Anolis sagrei: one gene and its partner. The protein of the gene in region 1 purifies or fractionates together with the protein of each later gene. This does not show direct contact. Links are inferred from orthologs where the notes say so. Each region holds a gene or a part of one and is shown on either strand. Other genes may lie near its edges.

Region 1 (7,564 bases):
CTCTGAGTTACAAACATCCGACTTACTAATAACTCATAGTGAAGAACAGGGCGAGACAACAGGAAGTGAGAGAAACCTACCCCACAGACGGGAAATTCACTCCTGAAAGTGTTATCATAGGGGCAAGGTGTCTCAACTGAAGCTTTATTACCAATCTTTATTTCCACAACAAGCCTTATTTTTTTCAAAATCCAATTATCACAGGGACAGAAAGAGAGATGATAACTTATGACAGGGGTACAGATAGCAAAACAAACCCTTCCCTATGCTATCCAAAGCTACAAAAAATATATTTTGGGGTGGAGTTACACTTAAAAATGCGCCTGTCCTAACTTACATACAAATTCAACTTAAGGACAAACCAACAGAATCCATCTTGTTTATTAACTTGGGAACAACCTGTAGTTCAATGTACACTAACCTTGAACATGAAAGGCACTGCAAACTAATTCAACCAGAGAAGTCAGCCATAGCAAAGCACTTGATGAACCAACCTGGGCACAGCATATTATTTGAGAACACAGAAACACTGAACCACTCTAACAACGATCATGTCAGACTACACAGAGAAGCCACTGAAATCCACAACCATATGGACAATTACAACAGAAAAGAAGCAACCATAAAAATGAACAAAATCTGGCTTCTAGTACTAAAAAATACTCTAAAATCAGGACAGTAAATAAAGAACAACTCTCAAAAACCAGGGGAATTCCAGATAAGAACCAATCAGGGCCAGGTAATCACCTCCCAACAAAGGATTCCCTCAGGAAAGAGGCAGCCAACATTTGAAGCTGCAAGGTTATTCAATGCTAATCAAGGTGGCCAACTGCAACATTCACATTTGCCTCAAGCAGACAATAGTTATTTCTCCCACCCTCAACATTCCACACTTACCTAGTTTCCCACAAACCTCACAACTTCTGATGATACCTGCCATATATGTGGTATCAGGATAGAATGCTTCTGGAACATGGCCATACTGCCTGGAAAACTCACAGCAACCCAGTGATTCCAGCCATGAAAGCCTTCCATGACACATCCTATGTGTCTTATGATGCAATGCTGTTTTACATAGCCAGTCAACAGAGCTTTTATGGAAATCCACAAGGTTATACATTCCTGTCCATTTAGCTGTACTTAAAAAAAACAAACCCACCACCTTAGAAACTAATCAAGGTGATGGAACTGCAACATTCACACTTCCTTCAAATAGACAAGAGTTCTTTCCTCCCACTCCGGACATTTCACAGATATATAAACATTACTTGCCTAGTTTCCAACAGACCTCACAACCTCTGAGGATGCCTGCCATAGATGTGGGTGAAACGTCAGGAGAGAATGCTTCTGGAACATGGCCTTACAGCCTAGAAAACTCACAGTGACCCACATTAACCTTGTTTCATAAACAAAATTATTATTTTTAAATGTGATGCATAAAATGATATCCAGGGTATGCGTATCAGGAAAGAAACAAATTTAGTTCATTTGATGGTTAGACCTGGGTGTAATCGGCAAGATATTTCACTGCATAGATGCAAATATTCCAAAATCTGGAGGGGAAATGCAAAAGTCCTTCAGGTCAGAAGCAGCAAGAAAGGGATACTCAACCTGTAAGAACCTCCCTGGTCAACAAACAAAAACTTTTTCAAGAGCTTGGATGTACCAACTCAGCTCTCTTTCTCCAAAGACATATTAAGTAAGTACAAACTTTGCAAAGAGAGCCAGCCTGGTTAAGCTGTTTGGGACCCGCCTACCTTCGTGACCACATCTCCTACCACCAACCTGCTTGATATCTCCGATCCTCTGGGGAGACCCTCCTTTCACCTCTTCCTTTATCACAGGCAAGATTTGTGGGATAGAGGGAGAAAGCCATCTCTGCTGTGGCTCCCCATCTTTGGAACTCACTACCTGGTGAGACTGGTCTAGCCCCCTCCTTAGCACACTTCAAGAAAACCCTGAAAACCTTGTGGCTTTGGAGAGTGACCATTTATCCCATTTCTGTTTGCCCCATCTATATTGTTGCCCCTATGATGCACTTTCCCTCTGAGGATGCTTGCCACAGATGCAGGCGACACGTCAGGAGAGAATGCCTCTAGACCATGGCCATATAGCCCGAAAAAACCTACAACAACCCAGTGATTCTGGCCATGAAAGCCTTCAACCATACCCTACTGTTTTATCCTTTTTGGGCTCCCCTCAATTACATATTTTCTATTCCTACTTCACTCAGGGTTTTATCATTTTATGTCGTCCATTTGGCCTGCCCATCCTGTTTGATTTTATGTTGTGTTAATTTGCTTTAGTATTTTATTTTGCTATTGTAATTATTTTCTGAATTTGCATTCTCTATTTTATTGTATTGTATTTTTGGGCTTGGCCTCATGTTTGGCTGCCCCGAGTCCCCATTGGGGAGATGGTGGCGGGGTATAAATAAAGATTATTAGTATTATTAAGTGACAAGCTATGGGTGCATCTACACTGTAGAACAGGCATGAGCAAACTTGGGCCCTCCAGGTGTTTTGGACTCCAACTCCCACAATTCCTAACAGCCTATGGAGTCCAAAACACCTGGAGGGCCCAAGTTTGCTCATGCCTGTTCTACAGTGTAGAATGAATCCAGTTTGACACTACTTGAACTGCTATGGCTCAATACTATGGAAACCTGAGAATTGTAGTTCTACCAAGTCTCAAACCCTCTCTACCAAAGAGTGCTGGCAGCTCAAGTTTCTGGGCCTTCAACTTTCTCCTCCCCCAAACAACCAGGCCTGTATTTGCGTGTAGGAGTAGTTTGCCTCCTCACCTGGAGGGCGGCCTCATGTTGTGGCTCCGCAGCGCCGCTTCTTCCTCGTAGTTGAGCAGCTTCAGCTTCTCCAGCAAGTCCTCCATCAGGACGAACATGTGGTAAACGGCGCCAGGGCCCCGCTCGACCGGGTCGCCTTCTTCTGCCGCCGCCGCCATCACCATCCCTCGGTTGCCAACACAACGCCGCCAGCGCTTCTCGGGCCGGAGGCGGCGTCACCGGGGAAACAAGCCACGCCCCTTCTCGGCCGACGCTCGCTCACCCGCCAATCACGGAGCGTCAGCGAAAGGGGGCGGGCCTTTCTAGCGTTTGCAAGGGAGTTCTGGCTGCGCATGCGTAGACGCGCCAATGCTTTAGTAACTAGTTCATTTATGAGTCTCTTCTCTTTTGCCCCAAGACCCTTCCACACAGAATATGAAGCTAATCCACAATACCTGCTTTGAATTGGCTTATTTGAGGCCCCTTCCTCACAGCTGAATAAAATCCCACATTTTCTGTTTTGGACTGGAATATATGGCAGTGTGGAGTCAAATAACCCAGTTCAAAGCAGTTATTGTGGGATTTTTCTGCCTTTATATTCAGGTTTATATGGCTGAGCATGCTGTAGAACAGGCATGGGGAAACTTTGGCCTTCCAGGTGTTTTGGACTTCAACTCCCACAATTCCTAACAGCCTAACAGCTGTTAGGAATTGTGGGAGTTGAAGTCCAAAACACCTGGAAGGCCAAAGTTTCCCCATGCCTGCGGTAGAGTTATTGCACCTTGGTGTCATTTTCACTGCCATGGTCAGCAGCCCTCTTTGGCAGAGAAAGCGAAAGACCTTGGGGAAACTACAACTCCCATGACTCCATCACATGAAGCCATGGCATTTTAAAGTAGTGTCAAGCTGCATTATTAATCTATATAAATAAAAATGTAATGTTCGTTTATTTATTTATTTATTTATTATTATTCGTTTGTGAGATTAACAGAACTCAAAACCACTGGACGAATTGACATCAAATTTGGACACAATACAGCTATACACAACAATACACAATACAATACACCAATCTTCAAGAAGGGAAAAAAGGATGACCCAAACTACCGTCCGGTCAGCCTCACGTCGATACCGGGCAAGATTCTGGAAAAGATTGTTAAGGAAGCGGTCTGCAAACACTTAGAAACAAATGCAGTCATCGCTAATAGTCAACATGGATTTATCAAAAACAAGTCATGCCAGACTAATCTGATCTCTTTCTTCGATAGAGCTACAAGCTGGGTAGATGCGGGGAATGCCGTGGATGTAGCGTACCTGGATTTCAGTAAGGCCTTCGACAAGGTCCCCCATGACCTTCTGGCAAGGAAACTAGTCCAATGTGGGCTAGGCAAAACTACGGTGAGGTGGATCTGTAATTGGATCTGTAATTGGTTAAGTGGACGAACACAGAGAGTGCTCACTAATGCTTCCTCTTCATCTTGGAAAGAAGTGACGAGCAGAGTGCCGCAGGGCTCTGTCCTGGGCCCGGTCCTGTTCAACATCTTTATTAATGACTTAGATGAAGGGCTAGAAGGCATGATCATCAAGTTTGCAGACGACACCAAATTGGGAGGGATAGCCAATACTCCAGAGGACAGGAGCAGAATTCAAAACGATCTGGACAGATTAGAGAGATGGGCCAAAACTAACAAAATGAAGTTCAACAGTGACAAATGCAAGATACTCCACTTTGGCAGAAAAAATGAAATGCAAAGATACAGAATGGGTGACGCCTGGCTCGAGAGCAGTACGTGTGAAAAAGATCTTGGAGTCCTCGTGGACAACAAGTTAAACATGAGCCAACAATGTGATGTGGTGGCAAAAAAAGCCAATGGGATTTTGGCCTGCATCAATAGGAGCATAGTGTCTAGATCTAAGGAAGTAATGCTACCCCTCTATTCTGCTTTGGTTAGACCACATCTGGAATATTGCGTCCAATTCTGGGCACCACAATTCAAGAGAGATATTGACAAGCTGGAATGTGTCCAGAGGAGGGCGACTAAAATGATCAAAGGTCTGGAGAACAAGCCCTATGAGGAGCGGCTCAGGGAACTGGGCATGTTTAGCCTGAAGAAGAGAAGGCTGAGAGGAGATATGATAGCCATGTATAAATATGTGAGAGGAAGCCATAGGGAGGAGGGAGCAAGCTTGTTTTCTGCTTCCTTGGAGACTAGGACGCGGAACAATGGCTTCAAACTACAAGAGAGGAGATTCCATCTGAACATTAGGAAGAACTTCCTGACTGTGAGAGCCGTTCAGCAGTGGAACTCTCTGCCCCGGGGTGTGGTGGAGGCTCCTTCTTTGGAAGCTTTTAAGCAGAGGCTGGATGGCCATTTGTCAGGGGTGATTTGAATGCAATATTCCTGCTTCTTGGCAGGGGGTTGGACTGGATGGCCCATGAGGTCTCTTCCAACTCTTTGATTCTATGATTCTATGATTCTATCAGGCCAATGAGTGAGCATCACTCATAAAAACATTAAAAAACATAGCAGAAGAGACTTAAAAAGCCAAAAAACAAAAATTGCATTACAACACATGTGCAAAACCATATATACATATATATATATATACACAAATATATACACATATATAAACACACCCAAAACACATATACACAGACTGGGCCACAGCAACGCATGGAAGGGACGGCTACGCTATATAAACAAAAATGTAATGTTTGTTTGTGGGATTAACATAATTCAAAAACTACTGGGCAAATTTAAACCAAATTTGGACACAAGATATCTACTAACCCAATCACTAGTGACCATTTAGTGACCATCACTAAAAAAAATGATTTTGTCATTTGGGAGTTGTAGTTGCTGGGATGTATAGTTTGCCTACAATCAAAGAACACTCTGAACTCCACCAATGATGGCACACAGGACTCCCATGATCAACAGAAAACACTAGAAGGGTTTGGTGGGCATTGACCTTGAGTTTGGGAGTTGTAGTTCACCTACATCCAGAGAGCATTGAGGACTCAAACAATGATGGATCTGGACCAAACTTGGCACCAATATGTCCAAATGTGAACACTGGTGGAGTTTGGGGTTAATAGACCTTGACATTTGGGAGTTGTAGTTACTGGGATTTATAGTTCACCTACAATCAAAGAGCATTCTGACCCCCACCAACAACAGAATTGGGCCAAACTTCCCACACAGAACCCCCATGACCAACAGAAAATACTTAAGGCCATCTAGTCCAACTCCCTTCACCAGGGCAAGAATACGTAATCAAAGCCCTCCTGACAAAGAGCCATCCAGCCATATAGATAGATATATATGATTCACACACAGATATAGTAGCATAGATTTGAAAGGGACCCCTAAAGAAGGACAATGCTATGTTGCATGTTCCAGAGTAGGCAAACCAGACAGCCTCCACATCAACACTGACAAACAGCAAAAAATACTGTTTACCCACAAGCATCAAGACATTACATATATTAGAAACCAACTTGAGAGGGCCCAAGCCAGGTCACCAGACTGGGCCACAGCAACGTGGGGCAGGGGACGGCTAGTCTATATAAGTAAAAATATAATGTTCGTTTGTGGGATTAACATAACTCAAAAACCACTAGACGAATCAACACAATACACCTGTCAGGCCAACAAGTGACCATCAATCATAAAAACACTGAAAAACACAATGGAAGGGACTTTAAAAGCCAAAAAAGCAAAAAGACACTACAGTGCATGTGCAAAAACGACTCCCCCCAGCAAACAAAGCACACAATAGCATATCCACACTCTCTTCCAAACTATAATTCCCAGCATCCCCTAGACCAGGCCTTTTAGGAGACGAGGATGATCCAAATGCACTGCTTCCAAGCTGCAAGCTTTCTTCTCCTTGGATTTCTTTGAGAGCATCCTAATTCCTGCATATTTCCAATTGCCTATTCCTGGACTGCAACTCCCAGCAATTGACTAGATAGATAGATTAGATAGAGATAGGTAGGTAGGTAGGTAGGTAGATGGATCAGGAGGACTGCTGGAAGTTGCAGTCCAAGAATAGGTAGAGAAGGGAGAACAGGGAGAAAGAGAAAGGGAAAAAAGGGGGGAAGGAAGGGAAGAAGAAGAGAAGGAAGGAGGTAGAGAAAAAAAGAAAAAAGAGAAGGAAGGAAATAGGAAGGGAAGGAAGTAGACAAAAAAGAAGAGAAAGAGGGAGGGAGGGAAGGTTAGCCACAGCAACATGTGGCGGGTACAGCTAGTTTTACATAATTTTGACTTTGGGTACTTGTATATGTTTATATTACTAGCTGTACCCGCCACATGTTGCTGTGGCCAACCTTCCCTCCCTCTTTCTCTCCTTTCCTGCTCTCCTTTCTCCCTCTTCCCGTGGATTCATTCTCTAGTGTGATGAGGTCCCAAGTCTTTTGATTCATTTTAATGTTTAACTTTCTCAAGTTTTTAATTGGTTTTTACATCTTATTTATACTTTTATTAATGCTTTTGCATTGTTATTACTATGTTATTATCTGCTTCAGTTCCATTACTGGGAGAAAGGTGGGATAAAAACGATAACGATACTACTACTGCTGCTGCTATTATTATTATTATTATTATTATTATTATTATTATTATTATGTTGTTGTTGTTGTTGTTGTTGTTGTTGTTACAACTCCTATCAGATGCATTAATTTCACCAGTGCTATTCAAAGTGATGGTTGTTGTATTTGTACAAGTATCCGAGGGAAGAAACAATGGTACCCAATGGACACAAATTTAGTGCTGATCC
Region 2 (7,770 bases), about 200 Mb from region 1:
AGCTCACCCCATTCCCCGGACTGGAACCGCCAACCATTCAGCAAATTCAGCAGATCAACCGAGAGTAAAACTAATATAGCAAAGGAAATTTCTGTGGGGTGGGTTAGAGCAGGGAATCAAGTGCCATTTGAATACATTTAAAAGCCCTGTGCAATGTAACTTGCCTGGATAGAGTTTGGAAAATTACTTTTAAAGGCAACCAGTTTCAAAATAGTAGATAGTGTTTTGTAGGGATTATATATCTCTCTTTCAGCTCTATCTACCTAAGCCAGGCTTGGGCTGTTAGGAATTGTGGGAGTTGCAGTCCAAAACACCTGGAGGGCCAAAGTTGGTCCATGCCTGAGATAGATAGTAAGGAACCATTTCTCAACCTGGGGGTTGGGACCCCTGAGGGGGGTCGCAAGGGGGTGTTAGAGGGGTCACCAAAGACCATCAGAAAACATGATGGTAGTTAGAGTGGTCCAGCATTTCTATATTCTCAAATAATATGTTGTATCCAGGTTGGTTCATCAGGTGCTCTGCTATGTCTGACTTCTCTGGCTGAAGTAGTCTGCAGTGTCTTTCATGTTCCTTGATTCGTGTTTGGGCGCTGCGTTTGGTGGTCCCTATGTAGGCTTGTCCACAGCTCAAGGACAGCTCAACCCATTACGCAAAATAAGCATTTGCAGTATAGTTGATTTTGCCCAGGGGCGCTCTTGAGGCGCTCTTGGGGGAAAATAGACCTTGACATATGTGAGTTGTAGTTACTGGGATGTATAGTTCACCTACAATCAAAGAGCATTCTGAACTCCACCAATGATGGAATTGAACTAAATATGGCACACAGAACTCCCATGACGAACAGAAAATATATATCAGTGATTGGTTGGGGGGTGGGGGGTGCCAAAATACTGTTTGCTTACCGTTGAAAATTACCTCGGGCCGCCTCTGCCAGCTGCATGGTATACGGTAGACTCCTGCAGAAGTGAGAGGATCCCTCTTGTCCACCATGTCAGACTACACAGAGAAGCCATTGAAATCCACAAGCATGTGGACAATTTCAACAGAAAGGAGGAAACCATGAATATGAACAAAATCTGGATACCAGTATTAAAAAACTCTAAAATTACAACAGCAAAACAACAGGGGGGGGGGGGGGGAATCAGACACACCTAATCACCTCTCAACAAAAGATTGCCCCAGGCACTGCCAGGCCCTCAAATGCCAATCAAGGTGGTCAGTTGAAACATTCACGCCTATCTCCAGCAGACAAGAGTCCTTTGTCCCACCCTGGTCATTCCACAGATATGTTATTTTTGTTCATTCGTTCAGTCGTCTCCGACTTATTTATTTATTTTATTTGTCGTGTCAGAGCAACTAGTCCATTATATTACATTTCTAACAGACCAAAGCAAACAAATAGAAAAATACAAAACTTGTGAGTTTGGTAGTTGGTTAAATGTCCTTTGACTAGTATCTGGCCACTTGGAGTGCCTCTGGTGTTGCTGCAAGAAGGTCCTCCATTGTGCATGTAGCAGGACTCAGGGTGCATTGCAGCAGGTGGTCAGTGGTTTGCTCTTCTCCACACTCGCATGTCGAGGATTCCACTTTGTAGCCCCATTTCTGAAGGTTGGCTCTGCGTCTCGTGGTGCCAGAGCGCAGTCTGTTCAGTGCCTTCCAAGTCACCCAGTCTTCTGTGTGCCCAGGAGTGAGTCTCTCATTGGGTATCAGCCATTGGTTGAGGTGCTGGGTTTGAGCCTGCCATTTTTGGACTCTCGCTTGCTGAGGTGTTCCAGCGAGTGTCTCTGTAGATCTTAGAAAACTATTTCTAGATTTAAGTCGTTGACGTGCTGGCTGATACCCAAACAGGGGATAAGCTGGAGATGTCTCTACCTTGGTCTCCGACTCTTGGTGACCTCATGGACCATCCCACGCCAGAGCTCCCTATCGGCCGTCACCACCCCCAGCTCCTTCAAGGTCAGTCCAGTCACTTCTAGGATGCCATCCATCCATCTTGCCCTTGGTCGGCCCCTCTTCCTTTTACCTTCCACTTTCCCCAGCATAATTGTCTTCTCTAGGCTTTCCTGTCTCCTCATGATGTGGCCAAAGTACTTCAACTTTGTCTCTAGTATCCTTCCCTCCAATGAGCTTTATTTCCTGGAGGATGGACTGGTTGGATCTTCTCGCAGTCCAAGGCACTCTCAGAACTTTCCTCCAACACCACAGTTCAAAAGCATCTATCTTCCTTCACTAATGGTGATTCAGGTTATTTTACAACAATATATTAATATGTAAAAGCAACCTTCTAAACCCAGATTTAAGCCACTGATCCAACAAATAAAACTCCTCATATAAACCCTTTTTCCTAGTTCCAACAGACCTCACTACCTCTGAGGATGCTTGCCACAGATGCAGGCGAAACGTCAGGAGAGAATGCCTCTAGAACAGTGGTTCTCAACCTGGGGTCCTCAGATGTTTTTGGCCTTCAACTCCCAGAAATCCTAACAGCTGGTAAACTGGCTGGGATTTCTGGGAGTTGTAGGCCAAAAACATCTGTGGACCCCAGGTTGAGAACCACTACTGTAGAACATGGCCATATAGCCAGAAAAAACCTACAACAACCCAAACTAAGAGATATGTAAACCATTGTGGAATGTCAGTGCAGAGACCTACGCCCTGAAGACCCTCAAAATCAGCTCCCTTACCTGTAGAAGCCAATAAATAGGGAATCCAGAGTCTCTCCAAGAGGAGCCTTGTTGCGACTTCAGCTCGCGCCCAAAGCCCTGCGTTGGCGACGCCGCTCCGTCTCTATAGCGACTTCTCGCGAGATTTCCTCTCCGATCGCACTCTTCGCTCCTTCCCCCCTCCCACACCCGTCGTGACGTCAGAGCGCCGACCTGTCAAAAACCGTCTTTATATCGGCAAAACAACCCATACGATTTAGATTTGATAGCAAAATTAAATAAATAAGAATACCTGCTCAATTCCACGAGTCAAAATAAGACAGAGGGAAAAAAAGCTAATTCCTGACGTGGAAAACATTTTTACAGCCACTACAGCCGCCTTTCAGCTCGCTAACGGGAAAACAAGATGGCGGCGCTTGAGGGGGTTTTTCTTCCTCCCTCCTCTCCCCCCTCCCTTCTTCTTTCGCCTCCTTTCAAACCCGTGGAAGCCCCGCCCCTTTTCCTTTTCCCCCAGCATGCTTTGCGCATTTCTAACGAATTTCGTTACGAGTTTGCCGTTTGGGCGCCATTTTCGAGTGTGGAAGCCGCCAAGGCTGCAGGCAGGAAGCGAGCGGAGGGAGCAAGCTCTGAAGGGAGGCGCAGGACGGTAAGCGGGCCTTGGGATCCCGGGAGCGGGGGAGAAGGCAGCCCCACGCTTGGAAATCATCGCTGCTCATACTGTGACCATTACTGATTGCTTCAGCTTCTGGAGATATTGGAGGAACTCGAATCAGAGGAGAGAAACTTCCCCCATAAATGGGGTCTATGACTTCTCTGTGGGGTTGAAGGGAAAAATATAATCATGATCATTATGATCAATATTAATAATAATAATAGACAAGATGAGGTGTTGTTTTCCATCGGAGTCTGAATTTAAAAGAAAGGAAAAAGGCGGCATTCTTTAATTTCCCTTTTTCCCCGCCACAATTTGCCTCTATGGATCTATCTATTTTTTTTAATGGGAGAAATTAGAAACCTTATGCTTTTTTAAGGTTGTCACAAGAGATAATATTTTTACTAATTTTTGAAAATATTATTTTTCGTCGTTTTATTTATTTATTTATTTAAAAGTTTTGTATACCAGCCTTCTCACCTCTCTTGAGGGACTCAGACCGGTTTCCAACCATAATATCACATAAATCAATAAAACAACATAATACATATTACAGTAAAACATTAAAACAGCAATTACAATCAATTAGAAACCTTATGCTTTTTTAAGGTTGTCACAGGAGATAATATTTTTTCTAATTTTTGAAAATATTATTTTTCGTCGATTTATTTATTTAAAAGTTTTGTATACCGGCCTTCTCACCTCTCTTGAGGGACTCAGACCGGTTTCCAACCATAATATCACATACAATCAATAAAACATCATAATACATATTACAGTAAAACATTAAAACAGCAATTACAATCAATAACTATAATTAGGTTCTTGTAGGTTTTTTCGGGCTATAGGGCCATGTTTCCAACAGACCTCACTACCTCTGAGGATGCTTGCCATAGATGCAGGCGAAATGTCAGGAGAAATGCCTCTAGAACATGGCCCTATAGCCCGAAAAAACCTACAAGAACCTAGTGATTCCAGCCATGAAAGCCTTCGACAATACAATAACTATAATGGTCAGTCATCATACTTTTTTTTGTTTGTTTGTCGTGTCAGGAGCTTCTTGAGAAGCTGCAAGTCGCTTCTGGTGTGAGAGAATTGGCCGTCTGCAAGGACGTTGCCCAGGGGATGCCCAGATGATTTTTTTTAATGTTTTTATCATCCTTGTGGGAGGCTTCTCTCATGTCCCCGCATGAGGAGCTGGAGCTGATAGAGGGAGCTCACCCGACTCTCCCCTGATTCGAACCTGCGACCTGTCATACTAAAATCGTTGCTCATCATCCTCCATCCATATCTCAGGGTGTTGGCTCACTCGTCGAATGCCTATCTCCATAACCAAGTCTTCACCTGTTTCCTAAATGAAAATGAATAAGCCTTAATCAGCAGAGAAACTGGTCCTACTTTTTATAAAAAATTACCAATTACCAATTGTAATATAATGATAAAAAAATAATAATTTATTTGTAACCCACCCTATTTATTTAAGGGACTCAGGGTGGTTTCCAACAAGCCTCACAACTGACAAGCCTCTGAGGATGCTTGTCATAGATGCAGGCGAAACGTCAGAAGAAAACGCCTCTAGAACATGGCCAATATATTATTAGCATAGCAAAATATTATATATTACTATATTGTACTGTACCACTATAATGCAATATTAGTAATATTACATGTAATACATATATAATTATTATATTATTTATTGTTAGTAGTATTGTATTACATTATAATATCAATATTATATGTACATACAATATATTATATGTATTGTCGAAGGCTTACATGGCCGGAATCACCTGATTGTTGTAGGTTTTTTCGGGCTGTATGGCCATGTTCTAGAGGCATTCTCTCCTGATGTTTCGCCTGCATCTATGGCAAGCATCATCAGAGGTAGTGACCGGATGCTTGCCATAGATGCAGGCAAAACATCAGGAGAAAACGCCTCTACAACATGGCCATACACCCCGAAAAAACCTACAACAACCCAATATATTTTATTATTAACATAGTAGACTGAACTTTCTTATAGTGTTTGATTTTGTCACATTCTCAAGTAATTTAGCTACAACACTCTATGGAGTCTGGTGTGGTCCAATAGGAGGTCCAAAGGGTCGACACTATTTGTTACCACACAGAGTGACACCAACCCTAGTGACGGCAGAAGTTCAACAGAACCTCCTTCCGCAGTCTTAAAACACTGCCCGGTTGTGCTATTAAGGCAAGCCTTAATGTTTTCAACAAGCCTCACAACCTGTGAGGGTGCCTGCCATATATGTGGGTGAAATGTCAGGAGAGAGTGTTTCTGGAACATGGCCAGACAGCCCAGAAAACTCACAGCTACCCAGTGATTCCAACCATTAAAGCATGCGACAATACATTAGCAAGCATGTATCAATCTCATATTTTTCCTGTTTGTCTATTATGGCATTGATGCAAGCATGGGCAAACTTCGACTCTCCAGATGTTTTGGACTTCAACTCTCACAATTCCTAACCGCCAGTAGCTGTTAGGAATTCTGGGAGTTGAAGTCCAAAACACCCGAAGGACCAAAGTTTGCCCATTCCTGCCTTAATGCCATAATAAGCAAACAGGAAAAATCCAAATCAGAAACGGTGAATAAAAACAACCTCAATATAAACTTGTAAGAATTAATATTTATATTAGGATTTAATGCTTTGCCTTAGTGTTTTATATGGTTTTAGTGATTTTAATTTATAATTATATGCCAGTGTTTAGCTATTGTTTTATTATATGTATGGTGGCATTGAATTCTTGCCAATGAGAAAGACAGTATATAAATATACTATATAAACCCAAAAGTAACCAGAGTAAAAAACTTAAAAGTAATAGAATGGAATGGAAAGGCGACAAAAAGGGCATCTCCAAGGCAGGATCTCCACTGCTAAATAATGTAGTTCAAAGTGAGCTGCATTATATGGGTTTATACCAAACAAGGGCAAACTGCGGCCCTCCAGATGTTTTGGACTTCAACTCCCACAATTCCTAACAGCTGGTAAGCTGTTAGGAATTGTGGGAGTTGAAGTCCAAAACACCTGGAAGGCCAAAGTTTGCCTGTTCCTGGTCTTCACTAAATCTCAGGGAGGCAACTTGCAGTACGTCAAAGTATTTATTTTTAAAAACTTCGACATTCGGTTCATAGTGGAGTTTGGGGTTTTCTGGCCCGGAGCTGCTGAGTGATATCTGGCTGTAACTCCAGAAGTGTTTTTGGCAAAAATTCTAACCCCTTTCAGTGGGGGGGGGGGGAGTGGGGAAGAGATGATGGATTTATGGAGGTTAAAAAAAAAAGCCTGACTCGTTTATGAGGACGCCTAACTTTTCACAATTCTTGTGGCATAAAACGACACCCTTTGAAGGAGCCTGCTTCCTTTTAGCCCTCAAAAGCAAACGTTGGTTCCTTCAGTTAAATTCTTTCAGAGTGTGCGAAAGCTATGAATGTCAGCGAAATGGAACAGTTGCAATACTTTCCCTAAGTGCACCGTTATCTTAAAAGACATGCTAGTCACTGCCACTCCCAAACGGGGTCGACACTCATCGAGAGACTTTTTTTAAAACTTGAAATTTTATGATCTGATCTGTCTTTTTTTAAATAAAAAAAACCCCATTACATCTATTAAACATCCCTTGTCTTTTAACTCCCCCATAGTGTTAAATATCACAGAGTATGGTGTTTAGTATTAAACTTTCTGATCAAGTTTCACGAAAACTTGACAACTGTTCTTTCAGTCCAGTTGTCACTGGATTAAGACATTCATAGGCAGTTTGAGGTTTTATTTATTTTATTTTAAAAAACGAGTGAGGAAGCAGCACTCTGCTAATTCAACCCCGTAATCATATTGCTATATTTTTTAAAAGTGCACATGAAATGTAAGAAGTTACACTTGTGTACAGCAGAGTCTTCATATATTTTTATATCCTTCTGAATAGTTAGGAAGGGTCCTCAATATCCAATGGAGTTTGGTTCCAGGATCGCTGTGAATATCAAAATCTGTGGATGCTCAAGTCCCACTGTATTAACTGCTGTGATAAAATGGCACCCCTTATATAACTTTGCAAAATGAATGTTTTAAAAAAATACTTTCAAATTGTGGGTGGCTGAGTCCATGGATACAGAAAACCGCCTGTATTTTTGTTTTACTGCCAGTTTATTTAATTTTTTCATATGTTGACTCTGTATGACAGCTGTAAATTATGAGCTGGAATGTACAATCCTATCCTAGTATTGAGGTTGTGTATTAGAAGTGTGAAAGCCTATGCCTGTCATTTACAAAAATGACTTGAAACTTAGTAAATGCTAAGGATACACCTTTAAGCATAGGTGTTTGGATTTCATTGTTTGCATTAGCAACAAAGGTACAATCCTTCTATAGATTGATTGTTTGGAATTTGAACAGCCAACAGAAATCATGCCAAGCAAAAGAAATAAAGTATCTACAGCAG

Evidence for each region. Proteins that work in one complex are often made in the same cells at the same time.
Region 2: the proteins of IFT57 (region 1) and IFT80 purify together in Homo sapiens (affinity purification with mass spectrometry; 3 studies listed by BioGRID and IntAct, counting the BioPlex papers as one, with this or other methods). This does not show direct contact. The link is inferred for Anolis sagrei from reciprocal best matches to the Homo sapiens genes IFT57 and IFT80.

Annotation. Positions count from the first base shown.
Region 1 is NC_090023.1:46,701,608-46,709,171, forward strand, and holds the start of IFT57 (intraflagellar transport protein 57 homolog), read right to left. Parts: upstream 3,032-7,564; 5' UTR 2,968-3,031; coding exon 2,804-2,967; intron 1-2,803. UniProt on the Homo sapiens protein: Required for the formation of cilia. Plays an indirect role in sonic hedgehog signaling, cilia being required for all activity of the hedgehog pathway.
Region 2 is NC_090023.1:246,702,236-246,710,005, forward strand, and holds the start of IFT80 (intraflagellar transport protein 80 homolog), read right to left. Parts: upstream 3,038-7,770; 5' UTR 2,956-3,037; intron 2,949-2,955; exon of another isoform or gene 2,685-2,948; intron 997-2,684; exon of another isoform or gene 903-996; intron 1-902. Other genes in the region: SMC4 (structural maintenance of chromosomes protein 4), read left to right, coding at 3,070-3,309, 7,701-7,770.